2 linked regions of the Struthio camelus genome follow. The protein of the gene in region 1 interacts with the protein of each later gene in a biochemical or structural test. Links are inferred from orthologs where the notes say so. Each region holds a gene or a part of one and is shown on either strand. Other genes may lie near its edges.

Region 1 (11,963 bases):
GCCCCCCGCTCTGCCCCTCGACAGGGCGATCCGCACCCCGGAGCAAGGGACCCGGCACCGGGCTGCCGGGTCCCCCCCAGCCCCGCGGCGGCTGCGGCACCTGGGGGGGACGTGGGGTGCTGTGCTCCCACCCGCCGTGTCCGCGGCGCTGAGCCCCGCGCCGTGTCCCGGCAGGGCGAGAAGGGCGAACACGGGCTGCCGGGCATGCCGGGCAGCCCCGGGCGGACCGGCGACACGGGCTCGCCCGGCATGCCCGGTCCCATGGGACCGCCGGGACCACCGGGCGACTACAGGGTGAGTGGCCCCGCGGGATGCGGGTGCTCGGAGGTGGCCGGGGGGGAGGACGGGGCAGCCGCCCCCCGACGCTCATCCAGCCGTGCCCTCCTCTCCTCCCAGTGCGACCCGCGCCTCGCCGGGCACCACGGATCAGCGGGGCCGCCGGGACCCAAGGTGAGCGGGGAGAGGGGGCGGCGGGTGCAGCCTCTGCCCCGCTCCCGCTGCGCCCGCCGGTCCTGGCGGAGCCGCACAAAGCGACGCCACGTGCATCGCCCGGATGCCGCCCGGAGCCAGGGTGCTCATGGGCCCCCTCTGCTTTCCTTCCAGGGTGACAAGGGCGACCCCGGAGAGCGGGTTTGTAGCCGCGGGCGAGCAGGCTGGGGTGCCCCCTCCCTCCGAGCCCGGCGTGCCAGCAGCCTCGTGCCCGGCCCCGGGTGCAGCTCCCGCGTCCCCACTTCCCCGCCGCGCCAGGGCACGGCCAGCAGTTGCCTCGCTGCATTGGCACAGCCAAAGCCCGGGGCGGGGGATCTGCCTGAGTTTGGCCCAACTCATCTCACTTGTGAGCTTGGGCAGATTCCCGAAAGCAGGCTGGGGCGCCGGGGGGAGCGAGTCCCGCATGCACACGTGTGCACACGTGCACACACGCGTGTGCATGCCCGCAGCGCGCGCACCCCTCCCTGCTGCCCGGCGCGGGCTCTCATGGCGCCTCTCTCTGCGGCTCGCCCAGGGATGCTGCTACGGGGAACCCGGCTGCAAACCCGGCCACCACCTCCCCTTCCCCGGCGCCGGCGGCCAGCCCGGCTCCTGGGTGCCCATCCAGTACCCGCCGGTGAGTCCCGCCGAGCTGGCGGAGCCCAGGGAGACCCCCGGGGCCGGGCCCCAGCAAGCGGGGCGTGCGGGCTGCGCGGGCGATGGAGGGACAGACGGACGGGAGGAGGGTGGAGGGACAGGCGGACGACGGCAGAGCCTCTGCTGGAGGCGGCCTCGATCCTCTCCCTTTTTCTCTGCAGAACGGCAAAGAGGAGCCAGAGCTGTACGGCGCGATCATCCCCCACGTGAGACTGCCTGGCGCTGCGGCCCCCCGCCCCGGGGGGGGCCCAGCACTTTCAGTGCCCCCAGCACTGAAAGACCCCGATCCGATCTCTGCACCGCTCTCTACCGCAGGGTCCCCGAGGTCCCCCCGGCGATCCCGGCCCCCCCGGCCCCCCCGGCCCGCCCGGAGCACCAGCTCTGCTCTACCTCAACGTAAGGCTGTGCACGCGCGTGCGAACGCGCCCCGTGCGAACGCGCCCCGTGCAAAGCCGCCTGTCTTTGCTTCCAGAGGGTGTACCCGGCGCGCGCCCAGCCGCCCTGCAAGCAGCCGGTGAGCGTGGGCCTTGCGTCCCTGCCCGCCGCCCGCCCCTGGGCCTGGCGCCCCTCTGCTGGGCCAAGGGGCCCCGGCCCGGCCCCGCCACCCGTCTCGGCCCCGGCCCCACGAGGCTCGTGCATCCCCCTCCGTGCACCGGGATCACTGCTCGTGCATCCCCCTCCGTGCACCGGGACTGCCGCTCGTGCATCCCCCTCCGTGCACCGGGACCGCCGGCTCATGCATCCCCCTCCGTGCACCGGGATCACTGCTCGTGCATCCCCCTCCGTGCACCGGGATCACTGCTCATGCATCCCCCTCCGTGCACCGGGATCACTGCTCGTGCATCCCCCTCCGTGCACTGGGACTGCCGCTCGTGCATCCCCCTCCGTGCACCGGGATCACTGCTCGTGCATCCCCCTCCGTGCACCGGGATCACTGCTTGTGCATCCCCCTCCGTGCACCGGGACTGCCGCTCGTGCATCCCCCTCCGTGCACCGGGACCGCCGGGCCGGGCGCTGCGCGGGGAAGGGGGGGCCGCATGCCCGGCGCTGCAGTAACAAACCCCGTCGGCTTTTGCAGGCAGCCGCCGCCGCAGCCTGGCCAGCGGGTAAGGGCATTTCCCGGGCGTTTTGGGTGGGCTCCGGCCTCCTCGGAAGCAGGGCCGTGGGGCGGGCAGCGCCGGACCCCCCCCCCGCCGGCGTGCCGGGCTGCGCGCTGACCCCGGCCCCTCTCCGGCCCCTCCAGACGCTGACGCCTCTCGGACGGAGCCGCCGGACCCCCGCGGCGCGGACCTCCGGGTGCGTCCCAGTGCCCTCGAGGCGGGGGCGAGGGACGGGGCCGCCCCGCGCCCAGGCGCCGGCTCATGCACCTCTGCACCCCCCCCGCCCTCGCTCAGCGCCAGACGTGGGTGTTCGGGTCCAAGGAGCTGATGCTGAAGGCGGGCTCGGCCGTGCCCGAGGGCAGCCTGGTCTACGTGCGCCAAGGGAGCAGCGCCTTCCTGCGGACGCCGCGGGGCTGGAGCAGACTCCTGGTACTGAGCGGGTACCCGAAGGGCGCCGGGCTCCAGCCCCAGCAGCCGCCTCTGGATTTGGCCCCGGAGCAGCCCGGCGAAGGCAGCGGCTTCCCCTCTGACCAGCCCCTCGGCTTCTCGCTTTGAGCAGCTGGAGGATTCGGAGGCGCTCTTCGCCGGCGACGACCCCTCTGCGTCTCCCCCCGGCCCCCAGGTGAGGGCTGCGGGCGGCGAGCGGGTCGGGGGCACGGCGTCCTCCGCGGACGCGCCAGCCCCGCGCTCGCTCCTCTCCGCCCGGGAGGCGAAGCAGCTGCAGGCGAAAGGTCCCGACACGGAGCCGCCCGCCGTGGCGCCGGCGGCCTCGCAGGTGAGCGCCGCGCCGCAGGGACAAGCGTCCCTCCCCGGAGCGCTGGCCGGGCGCCCGCCGAGCCGGCAGCCGGGGCGCCGCAGCAGGCGGGGGGACTCCGGCAGGGCAGCGTGGCTCTGTGCCCGGCATGGCTGAGCCGGAGACCGACGTGACCCACCTTCCCCCAGGCCCACAAGGAGGAGGGACCGGGGACGCCCGGGATGCTGCCGACCGCCGTGGCCCCCAGGGTCCCTTCGGTAAGAGCTGTCCCGCTTCCCGGCCCCTTCCCGGCCCCCCGGGAGCTGGCGCCGGGTCGCCCAGCTGCAGGAGAGGTGGGAGAGGTGCCCCGGGGTCCCTCCGTGTCCTGCCGGGAAAGGCAACGCTTTCTGTCCAGGGAAAACCCTCTGCGTCCTGCTGGGAAATGCCCTCCGTGTCCTGCCGGGAAAGGCAGGGCTTGGTGCCGGGGCGGGGGGGAATCCCACCGCCGGGGCAGCCGGAGGGTCAAGCGCTCGGGGCGGAGGAGCAGAGACCCGGCAGCCGGGCGAGGGAGCAGGACGGGCGCCGGGGGCCGCCGGCTCAGGCGGTGCCCGGCCTCCCCAGCTCCGTCTGGCAGCCTTGAACGCGCCCCTCTCCGGGGACATGAGCGGCATCCGGGGCGCCGACCTGCAGTGCTACCGGCAGTCCCAGGAGGCCCGGCTCTACGGCACCTTCCGGGCGTTCCTCTCGGCCCCCACCCAGGACCTGGTCTCCATCGTCAAGCGGACGGACAGGACGCTGCCCGTCGTCAACCTCAAGGCAGGTAGCCCCGCGCCCCAGCTGCCGCCCCGGCCGGGGGCGACGGGCTGAGGCGGCATCCGCCGGGCACTGGGCACCGTCCTTGTCCGAAACGCCACCCCGCCACCACCGCCGCTCGCGCTTGCAGGGGCAGCTGCTGGCCAAGAGCTGGAGCTCCCTCTTTGAGGGCCAGGCCGGCGCCACTCGGCGCGTCCCCATCTACACCTTCGACGGACGTGACGTCCTCAGCCATCCCCTGTGGTGAGCGGGGCTGGCACGGCGGGTCCCCCAAAGGTGTCCTCCTTCACCTCCACCACCACCACCACCACCACCACTACCACCACCCTCCACGGGTCTGGTGCAGCAGGTCCCCCAAAGGTGTCCTCCTCCATCCCCACCACCATCACCACCACCACCACCACCCTCCATGGGTCTGGTGCAGCAGGTCCCCCAAAGGTGTCCTCCTCCATCCCCACCACCACCACCACCACCCTCCACGGGTCTGGTGCAGCAGGTCCCCCAAAGGTGTCCTCCTCCATCCCCACCACCATCACCACCACCACCACCACCACCACCACCATCCTCCACGGGGCCAGCACAGCAGGTCCCCCAAAGGTGTCCTCCTCCATCCCCACCACCATCACCACCACCACCACCCCCACCACCCTCCACGGGGCCGGCACAGCGGGTCCCCTCAAAGGTGTCCTCCTCCACCCCCACCCCCACCACCATCCTCCGCCAGGCCGGCGCGTGCCGGGGCCGGCCGTGAGGAGACGGTGCTGTGTCCGCAGGCCCCATCGGCTGGCCTGGCATGGCTCCGACCCTCGCGGCGGCTCGGCTCGCGGCCGGCACTGCTACGGTTGGCGGCGCTCCGGCTCGGCCCAGGGGCTGGCGGCCCCCCTGGGTCGGGGCGAGCTGCTGGCTGGGCAGCGCTACAACTGCTCCGAAGTCCTGGCCGTGCTGTGCGTGGAGGTGGCCTTCCCCTACCGGCACATGTGGTGAGCGAGGAGCCGGCCGAGGCCCCGCCGGAGGCTCCGCGCTGCCGCCGGGATGGCCGCCGCGGGGTGCTCGGCCATCCCCCCTTCCCACCCTCCCCGAACCCTCGCTCCTCGTCCCCTGCGCATCCCCGCTGGTCCCCCCGCCCTGCCCCGCGTGTCCATCTGCATCCCGGACCCCACGGCGCAGCCGATGCTGCCATCCCACCCTCCCCCCGGAAATAAACTTTAAATAAATGAATGGGAGGGTCGGTGTTTGGGATGGTGCCCCCCTACCCCACCCCGGGCACGGAGCGGGACGTGCTTTCCCGTTCGGCCGAAGCGGAGCGTCACAGCCTGGAAAGCAGCTGGGCTCTGGGCTTGTTTGCGAGACATGTCGGGGGCGTGTTTGTACACACACACACATATATATACACATATGTTAAAAAAATATATATGTATATATATATATTTGGGTCCCCCCCAATATATATATACACACACATATAGAGGGACCTCCTCCAAGGGTCTGTGTCCCAGCATGTCCCCAAGGCCTGCCCAGTATGTCCCAGTGTGTCCCTAGGGTCTGCCCAGTGTGTCACTATGTCCCCACTGTGTCCCCAGGACCTCTCCCGGTGGGTCTCCAAGGCCTGCCCAATATGTCACTATGTCCCCCTGACCTGCCCAATGTGTCACTGTGTCCCCATGACCTGCCCAGCTGTCCCCAAGGGCCTGCCCACTGTGTCCCAGTGTGTCCCAGTGTGCCCAGTGTGCCTCCTTGACCTGCCCACTGGGTCCCAGAGTGTCCCAGTGTCCCCACGACCTGCCCACTGGGTCTCACTGTGTCCCACTGTGTCCCTATGACCTACCCAGTGTGTCCCTGTGTGTCCCCAGGGCCTGCCCCCTGTGTCCCAGTGTGTCCCACTGTGTCCCAGTGTGTCCCCAGAGCCTGCCCAGTGCCCCCAGGCACCACCCCAGCAGGGCTGGCCGGGGAAGCCCCGTAGCTGGGCCCCGTCACCCAGGCAACCGCGACCCCGCCGGCGTGCCCTAGGGACGCAGCCTCGCCGCCACCTCCCTCCCTTGCTTCTCTATTGGCCGAGATTAGTGCCCGTCATCCAGATGTCCCTTGTGAGTGGCGAGATTTGAACGGCTCCCGCCTTCCCCCCGGCCGGAGTGGCTGGTTTGAAAGAGCGGGGAGCGTTGTGACTGGCTAGGGGAGGTGGGCGGGCGGGGCCTGTGTCCCCGCCTTCGCCCTGCGATTGGCGGGCCGGTTTCGGCGGGCTGAGCGGAGGTTTGAAACGCGCCCGGAGCGGTTAGCGGGCCGCCATCGCCGCCTCTCAGCGCTGCCGCCGCCATGGAACTCGAGGAGTCCCCGTCGCCCCTCCGAGTGCGTGCGGCCGCCGTCCTCTCAGGGCTGCGGGATCTCCCATCCCCTCAGATTCCCCCCCGGGGCCCCTCAAACCCCATCAGATCCCCCCAATTCCCCTCAGATCCCCCCCCGGGGCCCCTCGGATCCCGTCAGATCTCCCCCTAGTTCTCTTCAGATCCGCCCCCGGGGCCCCTCAGATCCCCCCCCGGGGCCCCCCAATTCCCCTCAGATCCCCCCCCCGGGGCCCCTCGGATCCCGTCAGATCTCCCCCTAGTTCCCTTCAGATCCGCCCCCGGGGCCCCTCAGATCCCCCCCCCGGGGCCCCCCAATTCCCCTCAGATCCCCCCCCCGGGGCCCCTCGGACCCCGTCAGATCTCCCCCCCCGGTGACCCCCAATTCCCCTCAGGTTGCCCCCCAGTTCCCCTCAGATCCCCCCCCGGGGCCCCCCAATTCCCCTCAGATCCCCCCCCATCTCCTCATGTCGCCCCTCAGGATCCTCCGCCAGGCTCGTCTCGGGGTCCCCCGCCGCCCCTCTCCCCTTCCACGGCCCCCTCCCGCCGCCGTGGCCGGTCCCCGCTCCCCTCACGGCCCTTGTCTCCCTCCCCGAGCAGCCCCTGGACGAGAACCCGCGGGTGCCCAAGGGCGACGGCGCCAAGAAGCGGCTCTCGGTAGAGCGGATCTACCAGAAGAAGACGCAGCTGGAGCACATCCTGCTCCGGCCCGACACCTACATCGGCTCCGTGGAGCTGGTGACCCAGGTGCGCCGGGGCTGGGAGCACCCCGGGGCTAAGCAGCACCCAGCACCGGGGGGGGGGGGGGGGGGGCGTTAACATGGCCCTCCAGCTAAGTGGGAATCAGTGCTGGGTGCCTCTGCCTTACACCCTGATGGCAGGGAACATGAGGGAAACCTGAAAAACACTTGGGGATGTATGTGTTTTTTTTACTTTCTTTTCAGCAAATGTGGGTTTTTGATGAGGATGTGGGCCTTAACTGCAGAGATGTGACCTATGTGCCTGGCTTGTACAAAATCTTTGATGAGATTCTAGGTGAGCTGTGGGATATCTATTGGACTAGTGATTAGCAAGTTTGTTTGTTTTTTTAAGTTATTTCTGGGTGCTGAAGGTGTAAGAGACCCTTGAACTAAAATTAAGAACTTGGCAAATGTACTTTTTTCCAGTTGACCAAGTAATGTCCTTTGCATAATCCGATGGATGGTGTTCACAGAGTATATCGTTTGTTGACTGTGCTTCAAAATGTTGGATACTAATGTTCTGCCTGGTCTTAATTTCCATTAGTGCCACTAAAGTGTAAGCCATTCTTGGGATGATGGCACTATATATTATAAAGCCAATTCCATTCAGCCCCAGATTCTCCCTTTTATGTTATCCTGTAGTGCTCATCTCTATAACTTGCAAAATCTTTGCCTATCAAGATGATTACTAGTAGCATCTTGTCTTCAATTTTTGTATTCGTTCTACTGAAAGCACTTTATAGTTAATATTTTCTGTCTTGATTGAAAGTGTAATATGCTAAAAATAACAATCTTTCTATTCTAGTCAATGCTGCAGACAACAAGCAGAGGGATAAAAACATGTCATGCATTAAAATTACAATTGATCCGTAAGTTTTATTTCATTTTTTCAGTGTCTTCCCAGTTCACGTATGTTAGATTTTCTTCTTCAGATACTGTTCTGTTAGGCTGGTGTTAGGCAATAGAGAGCTCTTTGCAGAGGCACATTCAAGTTGAACCAAATGTAACTCCTGGAGCTCCACAGCTGCCAACTTGTGTAGCATTATTGACCAATTACAAAAGCCTTTATCTTCTTTAGGTCTCTTGCTCTCTTAGAGCGTTGGCTTGTGAAATCATTGCTTTTACTTCCCCCCCCCCCCCCCCCCCCCCGCCTTGTGGTCGTTTTCTCCTTTCCTTCTTCTCAAATTTTTTATTCTGTTCTTGAGCACAGATTATTTTTGTATGTAACTATTCATATTATAGATGGTATCTGCAGATCTGAGGCTGAAGGTTTTTTTTTTTTGGACTTGTCCTCCCTCTGCTGGCTGTTTTTACACTTGCCGAACATAAATTTACTTTTGATGAAACGGTGGCCTTCTACCATTGATTTTGTATAGCATTTATTTCATAGCTCAGTCATTTCCAGCCTTAAAGACACACTCTCTTCTCCCCCAGAGAGAATAACACGATCAGTGTATGGAACAATGGGAAAGGTATTCCAGTTGTTGAACACAAAGTGGAGAAGGTCTATGTGCCTGCTCTTATTTTTGGACAGCTATTAACCTCAAGCAACTATGATGATGATGAAAAGAAAGTCACAGGTAGGGAAGTCTCTAAATTAAGTGCTAATATTTTTGTGCTGCCTGATCAGCTTAAATGTGTGAACTGAATTACCCAGTGTGAGTGAGCAGTAGCTAGCAGGTTTCATCAAGACTGCTTGTTCTGAATAAAGGTGACACTAACTGGTCCCTTGCTGTTCTCCTTGTTAAGAAAAAGAAGTGATGTTGATGCAGCATAAAAATGGAATCCCTGAGTGTATCAGAGGGACGTTTCCATGCTGTATTTTATAATAAAAATGGTACAGTCATGGAGAACAGGAGGAATTCCCTTTGAAAACTAATTCCCATTAAATATGGGTATATAGTCATGTGCTAAGTTTGTAGGATATTGTCATTCATGGTGAGTCGTACTTTGACAGTGCTGAAGGGACTGAATTCTTGTTAGTCTGGAATTCTTTTAGATGGTTTTGAACAAATGTAACAACATAGATCTGTTTGCGTTACAATTCCAGGTGGTCGAAATGGTTATGGAGCCAAACTGTGCAACATATTTAGCACAAAATTTACTGTAGAAACTGCATGTCGTGAATACAAAAAATTATTTAAGCAGGTATGGACACTTTCTTTAATTCTGTTTTCTCATTTCAGTAAGGTTGTACTTGAGATTCTCAAATAAGAGCCTACGTTCTTATTCCAATTTAGATGTTGTTTGCCTGGTGCAAATTTGTATTTGTACCATGACTAGAATAACTTTGGCCCACAGCTACTGTACTGCTAATTTTGATTCAAATAAGTAATGAAAAGAGCAGACAATCAGGATCTAATTTTTAACCAGTGGGGTTTTTTTTTAATCTCCAAGTATTTAAAACTTGTAAATCAGCTCTCTGATTTTAAAAATTAAGCTAGTTACTCATATTTCCATTTTTATCTCAGACCTGGACAGACAACATGGGAAAGGCTGGTGAAATGAAGCTGAAATATTTTGATGGAGAAGATTACACATGTATCACTTTCCAACCTGATCTATCAAAGTTTAAAATGACAATTCTGGATAAAGATATTGTAGCACTAATGTCTCGAAGAGCGTATGATATTGCTGGGTCCACGAAGGATGTCAAAGTTTTCCTAAATGGAAAGAAACTGCCTGTGAGTGAGCATTTAAAGGAAATAATATCTATACTTCTCATGACGTTTGAACAATGAGATTTGGTTCAAGCAATTTACATCATTACATGTGGCGAAGTGAAAATTCACATAAGTGATTTATAGTATTTATAGGCACTGTTATTAACAAATTCTCTGCTTTTATCTGCATGTAGGTGAAAGGATTCCGTAGCTATGTGGACCTCTATGTAAAGGACAAAGTGGATGAAACTGGTAATATGCTTAAGGTTATCCATGAGGAACCAAATTCTCGATGGGAAGTGTGTTTGACTTTAAGTGAAAAAGGCTTCCAGCAAGTTAGCTTTGTCAATAGCATTGCTACCACCAAGGTAACTCTTCTTTACCTTATTTAGTCATGTTAATGACATATTCTTCATTATTAGTATTCCTAGGTATTTCCGAATGTATGTTAGTGAAAAATAGTTAATTTGTGCAAAGACCATACTTAGCTTTGAATAGCAGTACGTATTTTTTTTTTCCCCAATGGAATCACCTCAAGATCTTTGATCCCTTTTTTCCCTTAGGGCGGCAGGCATGTTGATTATGTAGCTGACCAGATTGTGACCAAACTCATTGAAGTTGTGAAGAAGAAGAACAAAAATGGAGTTGGAGTAAAGCCTTTTCAGGTACAGACTCAGAATCTCCCTAGTAGGAAATGTAGCTCTAGCATTTTTGCAAATTGTAGCTACAACCTGATGAATTATTACAATAGTCTAATTTAAAATAAATATTTCCATTGTAAAGATTTTTTAGATAGATAGATAGATAGATATAAAAAATGTGCTAATTATAGAAGCCTTATATTTTCCATTTTAAACCAACTAACAATCTTCTCTTCCTTTAGCTGTTGTATTTTGTAATCAGAGCACCATAAATCATTGCAGATGCACTAAAAATATCAGATGATACCTATTTTGGAGGAAAGCTGCTGATTTCTTAACATCCAAAATCATATAATGTTGTTCATGAATGTTTGTGAGCTGTCCTAAATTCTATCAGTTCTGTTTAATTAGACGTGTAGAAAAATTAGAAAAAAAAATGGTGATGATTGAACTAGTTCTTCTTTCAGCGTGATTCTGATAGGCAAATGTTAGAAGGCCCTGTGAGATGAGCTGGTAAAATTTGTAATGGTAGTTGTATTTAACTGCAGGTGAAGAACCACATGTGGATTTTTGTGAATGCTTTGATCGAAAATCCAACCTTTGACTCTCAGACTAAAGAGAATATGACTCTGCAGGCAAAGAACTTTGGCTCAACGTGTAAACTGAGTGAAAAATTTATCAAGGGTGTAAGTACTGGAATACACTGGTTTCAGTTATAGATGTCTATAAAGCCGCATCTTATATTTAATGTGGCAGATATACTACTCATGAACTAATGTCAGTTTAAACAAAATGAATATATGCCTTAAAATTATGTCACAGTTGAGGCTTTTCTCACAATTGAATCTCTTGTATTGCAGGCTGTCGGCTGTGGTATTGTTGAGAGTATCCTGAACTGGGTAAAATTTAAAGCTCAGACCCAGCTGAATAAGAAATGTTCAGCTGTGAAACACACTAAAATTAAGGGCATTCCTAAGCTGGATGATGCCAATGATGCCGGTAAGTGCTTTATGTCCTTTCTAACCAGTTCATTCAAACACAGTTAAAAAGTGTTTGTTAGACAAATGAAAGAATTGTCTCCTAAGGAAAGTGAGAAAATTCTGCAATTATAGCTTATCCTCATTTTGTAGTCAGTCCTATGTGCAGTCCAACAAAACCTGTGTGTGTTAGAAGAAATTTATTCTCATTCATTTTCTGAGCATACCAATTCTGATTGCACTTCTTAATTAGAAAATCGACTTGCTTTTTTTTAGGCAGCAAGAGTTCTATAGACTGTACACTTATCCTGACCGAAGGAGACTCAGCCAAAACACTGGCTGTTTCTGGTCTAGGAGTGGTTGGTAGAGACAAGTATGGAGTATTTCCCCTTCGTGGGAAAATACTCAATGTCAGAGAAGCTTCTCATAAACAGGTTAGTTGGAACATCTTTATAGTCTACATATTAGAAGATGTGTTATTCTTTGTGTCATGCCATATGTTTTAACTGAGTCAGCAACCTGGATGCCTGGAATACTGTAACTTGTAGTAATAGTATCTCAAATATGTGAAGTTAGTCTTGCTTTCAGTATGCCTTGCTGATTAAGTGGGAATATTGACTAAGTCCTATTCACTGCTTTGCCTGAGGAGATAGCATTTGTGTTGTGGACTACAAAATGTTTGGAATGACACAGAACAATATAAGCATTAGACTTCAGTTTAGAAATAGTAAGTTTCTCAACAGGAAAAGAATGTTGACAAGACTAAGCACAACAGTAAAGGAGATACTTATGGCGGATCATTTTAGATCTTTTCGAGCTACAGTTTAAGTCTGGC
Region 2 (12,192 bases), on another chromosome or scaffold:
GAAAAACTAATAAAAATGGTTATCTACTCTTTACCCTCTCCAGTCCTTAGAAAGCAAATACAGCAAATATAAGCTGCCTGTCCTGCACAGAGAGCTGCACTTGGGCTTAAGGCTTTCCTACAACGTATTCCTAAGATGCCAGTATGGTGGGTGCTTACAAGTTTAAGCTAAAAACAGCACAGCTTATGCCTTTCTGAAATCCTAACCTCCTCTAGCTCCATACAACCCAGAGGACACAGCGTATGGTTTCTTTTGGTCCAGTATTTAAGCTTTTCTAATAGTCCCAATCCCCTTTTTCATCCCTTTTATGCCCATTAGGGGTCGTCAAACTGGTTAACAGTCCAGTACGCTCCACTAGTGATTTTGTCAGGGGTACTGCCAGAGATGCTCCAGACAACAACGGCTGCTCGCACGCGGTCTCAGGACTGCATCCGCGGGACTCCAGCGAACATGAGCCACGCTAAACTGAGCTAGTGCTAAAATGGAAGGCTGAGCACATCCCTTTCCCAGGGGCCATCAAGATAGCACTTTATGATTCACCACAAGTAAATCAATACTTGCTCTTTCATTTAAGCAGTCCTCACGACAAGGAAGAGAGAAGCTTCTCAACTAGACTAGACTAGAGGGAGCCTGACAGTCTCTTCTTTCATCTCGTGACCAAAACCAGGTCTAGGGCTCAAGGCACTCTCGAGGTCAGACCATGTACCAAGAGCACTAAGGCCCTTGAAGGAAGGGAACTCACGTTGACTTGATAGTGATGCACCTTTCCTGCTCATCTTTTCTCGTGTCAGTGAAACGGGTCTCCCCCGCACGGGCAGAGGCAATGATACCAGCTTTGCAGACCAGAGAGTCAGTCAAGGTTGATTTGCCATGATCAACATGGGCAATCACAGACATGTTTCTGATGTTGGCCTTTTTGTCCATGATGGCCCGTATCTGGTCTACTGTGAAGTTCACCTTAAGGTAAGGGAGAAAAAGAAAAACGCAGCATATGTAAAAACAGCTTCAGCTCTTCCAGGAGCATCAAGCAACAACGTCAATACCTGGCGTTGCCAAGTTTAGTCACACTGACGTTAATTCTGCTTGCACAGCCAGCGTTATAAGACAACCCACAGGAAGAACTTCAAGGGCATCACAGACGCGAATATTTTGGCGAGGAGGGGTCTGGGCCAGCAGGGCAGGCACTCAGCAGCCCTCGGTGCCCTACAAACTGCGGCAGTCTCCGCATTTCCTTGACGGAAACCGCACTGAAGCCGAAGCCGCTTTCTCAAGGAGCCCCTCAGCAGAGCCGGTCTCTGCTCCACGCCGCGACGTGACAGCTCGGCACCCAGGTGCAGCTGCCCCTGCCCGGGCCGCAGCGTTACATAAGACAGCCGGCGCCCGCCGCAGAGCCCCCGATCCCGGCGGCAGCACCGCCCCGCCGGCGGCTCGGCCCCGGTGCCACATCACCGCCCCCACCCCCCCCCCCGCCGCGGGGAGGAGGCGCTGCCCGGCCGGGCCCCAGCGGCGCGGCCGCCCCAGGACGGCTAACGAAGGGCCCTGCCCGGGCCGGCACAGCGAAACGCGTCCCAGGACCCCCCCCCAAGCCTCCACCCCCGCGACAAGAGCCCGGAGTCCCCCCGGGGGCGCCTCGGCCCTCTTCCCCCCGCTCTCGGCTGCGGCTCAAGCCGGCACCCACGGGCGGGCCCGGCGCCGCAGGCCCCTGCCCCCGCCGCAGGCCCCGCGGCTGCGCGGTCGCAGCCATCCTGCCCGGCGCGGCGGGCGCGGCGGCCGCCCAGCCTCCCGGCGCGGCGGCGGGGCGCGGGGCCTCACCATGGTGGCGGATGGCGGCGGATTCTCCGGGGCGCGGGGGGGGTGGTGCAGCAATGGCGGCGGCGACGGCCCTGTCTCGCTGGCGAGCGCAGAGCGGGCGGAAGAGAACGCTGACGTCAACCGCCCCCTTCTTATACGGCGGCGCCGGCTGAGGGGCGGAGTCGGTGGCGCCGGCGCGCCAGGCGCATGCGCTGAGGCGCCTGTCTAGCCCTCCGCTGTCGGGAGGCTCGATGGTTGGGAGGGCTGTTCCGCCGGGGCGGGGACCACGTGGCCGCGCACCGGCACCAGCCCGGGGCCTGCGGGCGGGGGGGGGAGGTGAAGGGGAGCAGACCGGAGCGGGGCTCCCGCATTGCCAGTGCTCTGCTCAGGCGGGGCGGGGGCAAAGCCCCTCCCCACCTGCCGCCAAACACCGGCATGTGAACGGGAACCCGGACCAGTATGGCCCGTGGCAGCAGAGCGACCCCAAAAACGGAGCTGGTGCGAGGGCTGGGGCCTGCACGGGACGAGCAGGGCCTGGCCTCGGACACCCGGGCAGGGTACCGGGCCTGACGCTGCCTTCACACCTCCCTCCCGCCATCCCCCTGCTGTGGGGCCACTGGTGCCTGCCACCACTGGCCCCAGGGCCCCCGGCATGGTGCTCGCTCCCAGGGGCTTCGCCAGCCGTTAAACACGCCACGAGAGAAAGCTGTGCGCTGCCGGGGCTGCTGTCACCGCCTTCACGTCGTCCCCAGTCATGCCACGCGCTCGAGGAGCCGCTACAAAGTCAGTGAGGGCTCCTCTCCTGCCAGCAGGAACCCTGCCACTGATTTCATTAGAGAGCAACCGAACCCTGGGGGAAGCCTTTCTTGGTTCGCTCTTACCCCGAGAACATGTTACGGCAGAGCGAAGCATGTACCTTGGTCTGTACAGGGCAGAGAAATAAAAGAGGTAACAACAAATTAAAGAAAACGAACAATTAAAGCAGGTGAATGTTCTGCTTTTAAAATCTGTGGGCAATTCCTTGCTGGCATTAAAAATGCAGGTGACGTTTTCTTTTTTTTCTATGGAAAACTTAAGTTTTCCTCTCTTTTTCCCTGATTTTCCAGGGGCTGCGCTGATTTGCATCCCGAGCATTAAGGAGCGGTTGGTGAGCTCAGCTGTAAATTGCAGAGCATTTGGGGCCGATTCATCAGCGCTGTGATCCGAGTCCTGCATCGGTGGCCCCTGCACCTGCAGGGACTCGTGGCACGCGGCTTCCTGCCCGGGGTGCGAAATCCTGTCGTGGCCTCCAGGATCAGGGCGACAGTGCCTCACCTCGGGTTCCCGTGCTCTGCAGAGCGAGACCTATCGAGAACAAAGTGCGAACAAACCCCCGCTGCAGCACATGCTTTATGCCCTCACGCGAAGACCTGGCAGCCGGGCGCGCAGCGAGGACAGAGCAGGGGGAACCGCCTGCGCGAGGCTTTCGGGGGGGGGGGAGGCTCCCCTGGGCGGACTGCAGCCGCCCCCTCGCAGGGAGGCAGCAAGGGCAGAGCCATGCAGGGAAGGCTGCGGCGCCTGGCGGGCTGCAGCTAAGCCCGGCCATCGCTGCAAGGCTGCTGCCTGCACTGCAATGTCACTGCAGGGCCTCTGCTCTCACTGCAGTCCCCTGCCCTCGCTGCAGAGCTCTGCTGCAATCCCCTGCCCTCGCTGCAGGCCCTGCCTGGCCCCCGGCAGCCCCCGCCGTCCCCGTCCCCAAATGCCATTTCTGCGGTCGCTCGCTCCGCTCCTGCCCCCCCCCCCGCCGCCCTCCGCAGGGCCCCCGCGCTGCGCATGCGCCAGCCCGGCCGGCGGAGGGGAGGGGGCAGCGCCGCAGCGCCCCCTGCGGGCGGGGAGGGAGCGCTGCGGGGCCGAGCGTGCCCGGTTCCCCCCCCCCCACCCCGGGGGGCGCTGCATCCCCGAAACGTGCCCCACAACGCCCGCCGATGTCCCCAGCCGTGTCCCCGGGGCGGCTCCCGCCACTGCACCACGACAGCAAGGGTGCCGGCGAGGCGCGCGCGAGGCCGGGGCTCTCGCCCCGCTGCCGCCGGCCGGAGGGCCTGGCCCGCGTCCCCAGCCGCCCCGGGGGCTGGCACGGCTGGCGATGGCACGGGCCCCCAGCGCCTGCGCTGGGCAGGACGAGGGGTACGGGCTGTAGGAGCCCTGGAAAGGCCACGCACCTCCTTGCCGCGCTCCCAAGCCACGCCTGGCTTGAGCGGGATGCGGAGGGAGGGGTGTAGCTGGAGGAAGGATCTGCAGAGCTGCTCGACTCCAGCTGGGACCCCAGGGGCCATAGCCAGTCCTCTGGTGAGCCAAAAGCACCCATCCAGCTGCCTTGCTCTTCCTTTGGTAGCTGACACGCGCAAGATCTTCGCCATCGGCTGTCCCTGGTAAAGCTTCACGAACCCACAGCTCTCTTCCAAACTTCGCTCCTACGCCAGGAGGTCTCTAAGAAGGGCCTGACATGCTGGTTCAGCCATGGGTGTATGTTCTTTGTCTCTCAAAGTGCCCTGCAAAATCACTGGGTGTTCACATTCTACCTTTTAGAGCAACAGTAACGAGCAGCCATCCTGCAGACGGTCTCAGACTGACACAAATGATTCCTCATGCTCCGGCAGAGATGAAGCAGGGATAATTCGATGGAAAGACATGGAACGACTACACAGGGTGAGAGAAGACCCAGTCTGCAGTTTTAGGAGGACTCCCTCATCTCCAGTGCAGGAACAAAGGCCAAAATCCCTTCACTTTGTTTTAGCAAATGGGAAAACTGAAGCGCTACGCGGTGAAGAGAATTACCTGAGCTAAGATCAAATTAAAAGGAGACTGAGAGCGAGGGCAAGTAAAGAGAGACTCCACAGCACAGCACAGCAGGATGCAACTCTCCATCTCCATACCATAAATATTTTGCATCTTTTTTTACGTCCTTCTCTTCAGCATCATAGAAGACTGTTGCTTTACTTCCATCAGCTGCAACATATTAAAAAAAAAAAAAAACCTCTAATAAATCCAAGCCACTTTGTCCCCAAGCCACCTCGCCAGGCAGCTCAGGTCGCTGCCAAATTCCCAGCACATCCCCAGCCCACCGGTCCCCTCCACTATCTGCGGTGCCCAGGGAGTTGCCGGTGGAGCTACGCCAGGAATCACCTTGGCCCCGGGAGGCTGTGAGCCCCGCGCTCCCCTTGTGACAGGATGAGTTATCAGCTGTTGGGGTTGCCACAGCAACCGTTTGAATTTTTTAGCACCAATGCTGGCTTTTGCCAGACTGGAAGGGGAGGCTGGGGAGCCTGATTAACATGTTGGCCTGCCTGGGAAACTAGCCCATTGCCTTTTTGTTTAATTGGCCTGGGGGACTGATGACAAGAAGGGGAAAGTGCTGGAAAGCCTCCGTCTCCTCCAACGGCACGGGGTCTTCGGGGACCGTCCCCTCTCGTGTACATCCGGGCGTGATGGGCCATCACAGCCCGCAGGCGCGCAGGTGCCCAGGGGCTCTCTGTTGTCTCCTGGTAATTCAGCCTGAAGTTGCCTGGATGTAGTTGCTCGGCCCACGTGAAAGGGACTGTGCTGGGCGCTCGTTCCTGGCCTCACGCTTAGAAACGGAGCACCCAGATCCCAGCGGGAAAAGAGTGACTTGCAGGCAGGTTTCAGCTGGGGAGAACTCATTTCTATCTACACATAAGGCGTTTTTAGCAGGGACGGGTTCTTGGAGGATCAGCTCCTCCCTGGGCACCTAGAAATATGGAGAGAGACACTGACCTGGGGGTTTCTGGGGCGCCGTCACCACGGGGCGGTCGGTTCCCAGCTGCAGCGCCGGGTGTCTCAGCGACGCAACGCCGCGTGCTCGGGAGGGCGCCGTGTCGGGTGACAGCATCACAGGAGTTTCTGGAGGCCTTGGTCCCTCAGAGCAGAGGCAGGGGGTTAACGGCCCCTGGAATAAGCGGAGTGCTCGTTATTGGTGTATGCGCAAGCGTCTGGCAGCTCTGAGGCCTGCGACTGAACAGCAAAGCCTGAGATAAGCAAGTGGAGGCTGCTGCCGAGGGAGAATTAGATTTGTGCCCTTTGTTTTCCTCTGACGAGGAGGGATCTACAAGCTGTCAGGTTCCTTTGGGTTTTTTTTTCCCCTCCAGAGGGTTTTTAACCTTAGAAATGCCTGTTTCAGCTGCCTGCTCCCCAGAAAACACCTTCCAGGCAAACTACAGGTGACCAGACCCAACGTCCCCGTATTTTAGGCCATTTTCAGAAGTGGGGGCAAACAAAAAACCTGCCCCTTCCCTGGGGTGACCGCAGCCGGACGCGGGCAGGCGCCTCCGGTTCAGGCCACCGCCGTGCCCACGAACGAGCCCGGGCCTCGAAGGAGCGCGTGGAGGTTCGGGCAGGGGTCAAGGCCACAGGACAGGCCGCCAAGGGCGCTCCCGCTGGCCCCGGGGCCTGTACCCCGGTTGGGGCCTGTACCCCGGTTGGGGCCTGGTGCGGCCTGCCTGCCCCACGGCCATTTTGGGGGTGCTGCGCATCGCTCCCTGCCCCCCCCCCCACCGTGGGCACACCCCTCCCCACCGGCTCCCCTCCTGAAGGGCGGCGACCCCGGGAGCCGCCATCGCTGCTCCACCCCCCACCGCCGCCCCCTCCTCCGGTAACGCTGCCGCCTCCCGGCTTCCCGGGGCGCTGCCCCTTTAAGGCAGCCGGGAAGGCGTGGCCGGGCGGGGCGTGGCCAGTGCGCCTGCGCCGCGGCGCCGCGGCCCGCGGGGAGAAGGGCGCGCGCGCGCGCGCGGATTGGGCGGCGCGCGCCACCCGCGGCCCCTCCCCGCCCCCCGTCCGTCCGCGGGCGTCACGTGACTCGGCGGCGGCTCCCGGCGCGGTGGACGCTGGAGGCCAAGATGGCGGCGGAGCTGGTGGAGGCGAAAGTGAGTGAGCGGCACCTTCCTCCCCCCCCCCCTTTCCTTCCCCCGTCTTCCGCCCCGCCGCCGACTGCGGCCTCAGGGCCGGGCCGCGCGGGGCGGCGGTTCCCGGCGAGGGGGGCGGCGGCGGCGGGGAGGGCGGCGCGGTGCGACGGCGAGAGCCGGGGGGGCGGCACCCCCGGGACCGGCCCCCCCACACACACTTTACCTCAGGAGCCACCGGCCCCGCCCCGGCTTCCCGGGCTCGGCCGCGGCCCCCTCACCGGGCCCAGCCCCCGCCCCCCACAACCGGGGCCTGCCCGGCGCCTCTCGCAGCCCGGCGGGTCCGAGCCTGCCCCTGGGTCCACCCCCCCCCCCCTTCCTCCCTCCCCGCGGCGTGGGCCGCGCTGCTCCCCTTATTAATTACGAGTAATTAATTAAGGCAGGTGGCTTCTCCCGGCCGCCTCCGCGGGGCTCCTTCCCACCCCCCCCTTCCCCCGCCCCGCCGGGCGCCCGCGCGGGGCCCCCAGGCGCCTCGTGCCCGCCGGGCGCGGAGCGGGGCCGCGGGGCGCGGAGCTGTCCAGCCGCCGGGGCCGGTTTTGTGCCGGCTCCGGCCGACGGCGGGGGAGGGGGATTCCGCGGAGGGCAGAGCGTGGAAGTGGGGAAGGAGCGGAAGGTATCCGGGGGGGGGGGGAAGCTTCCCCCCTTGATTCTGCGCGGCATGGAGCTTCCCGGGTATGTCCCAGGCGCTTCCAAATGAAGCGTTTTTAAAGCAAGCGTACCTGAAGTTGTACCGTACTTCCAAAGTGTCCTGTGCGCCGCAGCAGGCCTCCTGCGGAAAGGAGGTTCAGCAGAATAGGACCCGCTCTCTGCTTTATTATTATTGTTTTCCCTTCTCGGAGTCCCAATTTACTCTTCTCTCCCTGATTCTGGGACTTCTCTGTTTTGCTCTGTCAGCGCGCGGCAGCGCAGGGGAGCGACTCGCTGCGCTTGAGCAGACTGCACGCAACGGTGCCATGGCGAAGCTGGCGCTAAGGGTGTTTACTGCGTGACTTCAACGCACAGAAATTGTTAATAGCACCTGCAGGATTAGCTAATAAGTAAGGATGTGGCTAGATGGTTGCAAAAAATAAGATGTGGAGAGTCTATTTTAGGAGTCCCTGTGGTCTCTCCTCTCCCTAGTATTTGGCCCCTCTCAATTGAGCTGAGCCCAGGACGCTTCTGGAGGAGGTATGTTTCCAAGACTTCATCGCTTGCCTCCTTAGCAGATGTTTGAGTGACACAGTTTGCCACTCAGATGCAAGGCTTCCTTGGGGAAAGGAGCTGACTTAAAATTTAGTGTTAAAATAACCTCAGTAGTTAATGTGATCTAAGTACCGCTCGTACTGTCATCCAGATCTAAGCCTCGATGATGCATTTTTCTTTGTGTGAAACTAACTTGTTCTGTTGTTACTGTTCAAATCTGATCATCCTTCTAGGTCTTAAACCTTTCTAAATGTAAACTGTGGAAAACTATTGGGTCAAACTCCACTGTACGTACCTAAGGTCCCAAGTGACCAGCAGCGTAGGAGTATCTGCTGTGCTCAATGTGACTTCCCCGTTACTGCACGACTGAAGTGCTTCACAGCCTTGCTGTAATTATCTTTGCAAATATGCTGTTTATCCTTGAAGTAGTTCTGAGAGTCCAGTACGCTCTCCATTTTGTAGATAGAGCAAATAACGACAGAGGAACTGAACTTGTCCAGGATCACGCAGGTGGTATCTAGCGAAGCAGTGAAGTGAATCCACATCTCCTGAATCCTCGTGTTCTAGCAGTTAAACATCCTTTCTCTCCTCTTTAAAGTTACTTGCCTTTTTCTCACATCAAAGGTATTCTGGGACACATCTCAGCTACCAAAAAATCTAAACTGCAGCCAATGACATTTGTGTGAAGTTCTTTAACATCTCTTGGGTTTCCAGATTAAATGACAGATTTCATGAGAAAGGAGAAAATAAAATGATATTCTTTTTACAGCCTAATTCCCGCACAGGCAGATGTGGCTGTGAAATGTTTCTGGACTAAACAGTAGCTTTAAAAAATTAATTCATCCATGTCATCATCATCTTTTTTTTCCTCCCTCTAGGAAATTGTAAGACTACTATTTTAACTTCCACAGAAAACTGACTTTATGCATTTTTTCTTAAGTGTAATCAGCAAACAAGAGTGGAGGGTAGGTTGGGGAAAAGAGACTTATTGATCTCTCATCCCTGCTTTTGCTCTTTACTATGGAGCAGTTGAGCTTTCTTCTGGAATTCTGACGTTTTCCACAAACAAGGAAGGACGCTGAAGGAATAATCGTGGGTGCCTATCAAGTACATTCTCGTGCAACTTGCATTTTTTTTTTAATGTCCTTTATAAGCTTGCCTTGCACATTCATAAAGCCGCTTGCCATGTGAGAGAACTCAATCGTCAATCTGACCAGACTCTAGCATTAGTCCCAATTGAAATAATTTCTAGTTCTTAGTTTGGTGGAAAATCGCCTTCTAATATAGTATGGTCTTTGAATCTACTGACAAATTATAGGCCTTTTGAGTTTCCACAGCAGCAAGAGGAGTGAATTTGTGAAGACAGATAGTTTTACTGCTTATCAAAACATTGAAATCAATAGTACTAGAGCAAGAGCAAAAGCAGCTACTGGCTGTAATCATGGGAGAATGCTTGGCAAAGCCTCCAAATGGAATCTTGGAGGCATTGTTCTCATGGGAACATCCTTCTCCCTCTTTAATAGTCTTTTAATATCACTCCATAGCCTAAAATATCTGATGCCTTTTTTAAAAGGCCCTGCATATGTAGGGAGAGTTCTGGATTTTTTTTTTTTTTTTGCACATACAGGCAATATCTAGATGCACTGAAATACAGTGCGAAGAATCCTAAAGGACTGGCAGCCCCAGTCCACTGAAATGTCATCCACCCTCCAGTTCACGTTCATTTTCTTCCTTTACCTTACTTGATAATATTTTAGATTAAGCTTTTAATGTAACCCTCTCACCCGAAGGTGCATTGGAAGTCTGCATACTTTGAGCCCCTTCATGGTGAAAGGGGTTAATGTATACTCTACTGTGTGGGGCAGGCTGTTTTGAGTGTTTTACTTTGTGGTCACCATTAGTTCTGGTAGAATTACCTTGAGGACGTTTAGATTTTGAGTTAACTCAGTGACCATCATGTGTCATTTCGCTCATTTGGGTGAATTGGTTGATTTTTTCAATTGATGGTCTCCTTTGTATTTCCTCTGCTCAAACAAGTACCTGGTAAATGGAATGTTAATCAGGCGCAGGACAGCTAATTTGAACAGAAGGCTTGGTATTGTTCTTATACCAGGTTTTTGTTTTTAGTATTTTGGATTCCAGGGTACGTAGTGAGAACTGACACTTTATCTTTTTACAACTGTAAGAACTTTTCTGATCTTTTATTCCCTAGAACATGGTGATGAGTTTCCGAGTCTCGGATCTTCAGATGTTGCTGGGTTTTGTTGGCAGGAGCAAAAGTGGACTTAAACATGAACTAGTCACCAGAGCATTGCAATTGGTTCAATTTGACTGTAGCCCTGAAGTTTTCAAGAAGATTAAAGAGCTCTATGAGACTCGCTATGCCAAGAAGAGCTCTGAGCCAGGGCAGCCCCAGCCACAGCAGCACCGGTCTCCTGAGGCACTCTCCATACATTCTTCATATGACCGTGGGAGCACTGTTGCTAGGACTTCTATCTCAACTAATAATATTGACTATCCTGCGCTCTATGGGAAATACCTTAACGGACTGGGAAGGTTGCCGCCCAAAGTTGTGAAGCCTGAAGTTCGGCTCGTGAAACTTCCCTTCTATACGACCCTGGATGAACTGTTGAAGCCAACAGAGTTAGGTGAGTTGTCTGTATTCTGGTGCTTTTCTGCTGGAGTCGGTCTGGGAAAGAAAACTGAAATAGATAACAAGTGTTGAAAAGATGGCAGTGTTTTCAAGGATCAGTAAAATCGTGTGATGGAAGGAGAAACAGTGATTCATGTTGTGGTGGATGTCTCCCCCCCCCCCCCCCCAGTCTTCCTCCCAGATGCTGTAAGCATGGAGTAGAATATTCTTATCTGTTTTCCCCTTGCCTTAGAACACAAAGGTGGTCACTTTGAGTTGTAACTTGAAAAGCCTGTCTTGTTTGGCTGAAGCTTTCATATCCTTCATTGGAAATGCTGCCGTGTAACATTGCAGTCTTGTGCTGTGAATCACAATCTGTCTTCCTTCTCCCTAATGTAGCAGTATATTGATGAAACTCTTTCTTTCTGTGTTGGTGTTGCACCTGTGCTGGGCGAGTACGCTGACACTTTCTACATTAGAGCTGTTTTTCAGTGCTTAACATACCTAACCTAAATCCTCTTGTGGATGAAAGAAGGTGGTACACATATCAAACAGTATTTCTGACTTTTTTTTTTTTTTTTTAAGCCTATCACAATTCTTTGTGCCTGACACTGTGTATTTTGAGGAGCAACTAGGGAAATCTGAAAATTGGAAGACGCGCTTTCTCCCACTTTGGGGCTAGGTGTCTGACTCTTCATTATTTCAGTTCTGAAATCATTGTACGGTGTTCAGCCTCATTGGCTTATAAAGCAAATATGGTGATACCAGGCCTCACTGTTAAGTGAACCTGGAACTTGGGAAGCTGATCTTTCTTTGCTGAAAAAGCATGTTTCTGCTGTGCCTGAGGACCAAAAAGAACTGTCATAGAGGAAGATAATGCATTTTCTGTCTGTGCAGGTGCGTGAAGGGCTGCAGTATTGGATCATATGTTAGAAATTTGAATAAAGAGCTGTGCGGTGGCTATTGCTGCCTAGTATAGTCAGGTTAGACAAATGTTTGGGATTCGTTGACAGTGATCGGAGCTTTTGTGCAATTTGTCTGACCGCAACTCAGAAATTCCTAAAGCTGTCGTCTTTATAGCAGTGGAACATACATTTTTCAGAACAGGAAATGGCCATCAGGTCCAGTGTCCCTGTGCTCCTAATTTCTTAGTTCTTAAATCTTTCTGCTTTTTCATTAGACCTTTTCATTCTCTTCTGCCTTCATGGGATAGTTTGGCTATCTCTTGAGCTCGTTTATATCCTTTTTCAGTTGTCTTCCATAATAAGTTATTCCATATGTTTACTATCCTTTTTATCCTTTGTGCATAGTGCTGCATGCCTTTCCTTGTTTACACCTATTTCTGTGTTGCTAGCTTCAGGGTGGCTCACCAGTATGTTTTTTAAAAAAAAATCTATTGAATTAGTCATTTGATACGTACGTATTTTTTGTCTGCATTTGGAGGCAACAAATGCCGTAATACTGTGACCGTTTAAAACAGTCAAGCAGTAACTGTCACTGTAAAACTGAAATTATTTTAAATACTGTTGTTCAGGGAACGGGTTAATTCAGCCTGGAGTGTGGAGTGGCGTTTGTCAGGCAAAAATGCAAATGTAGTATTTTGAAGAAAAATAAATTTAAGAGGTGGAAACATCT

Evidence for each region.
Region 2: of the proteins of TOP2A (region 1) and PIAS4, one has a biochemical effect on the other in vitro, tested with the Homo sapiens proteins (2 studies listed by BioGRID). The link is inferred for Struthio camelus from reciprocal best matches to the Homo sapiens genes TOP2A and PIAS4.

Annotation. Positions count from the first base shown.
Region 1 is NC_090966.1:6,948,074-6,960,036, reverse strand, and holds the start of TOP2A (DNA topoisomerase 2-alpha), read left to right. Parts: upstream 1-5,980; 5' UTR 5,981-6,081; coding exon 6,082-6,114; intron 6,115-6,707; coding exon 6,708-6,854; intron 6,855-7,051; coding exon 7,052-7,142; intron 7,143-7,652; coding exon 7,653-7,716; intron 7,717-8,281; coding exon 8,282-8,427; intron 8,428-8,897; coding exon 8,898-8,995; intron 8,996-9,318; coding exon 9,319-9,531; intron 9,532-9,704; coding exon 9,705-9,878; intron 9,879-10,073; coding exon 10,074-10,175; intron 10,176-10,699; coding exon 10,700-10,837; intron 10,838-11,011; coding exon 11,012-11,150; intron 11,151-11,404; coding exon 11,405-11,562; intron 11,563-11,963. Other genes in the region: collagen alpha-1(XVIII) chain-like, read left to right, coding at 175-294, 397-450, 604-630, 1,004-1,105, 1,287-1,331, 1,441-1,521, 1,598-1,639, 2,204-2,231 and 8 more. UniProt on the Homo sapiens protein: Key decatenating enzyme that alters DNA topology by binding to two double-stranded DNA molecules, generating a double-stranded break in one of the strands, passing the intact strand through the broken strand, and religating the broken strand.
Region 2 is NC_090967.1:4,283,058-4,295,249, forward strand, and holds the start of PIAS4 (E3 SUMO-protein ligase PIAS4), read left to right. Parts: upstream 1-6,527; 5' UTR 6,528-6,680; coding exon 6,681-6,707; intron 6,708-10,137; coding exon 10,138-10,573; intron 10,574-12,192. Other genes in the region: EEF2 (elongation factor 2), read right to left, coding at 743-957, 1,813-1,815.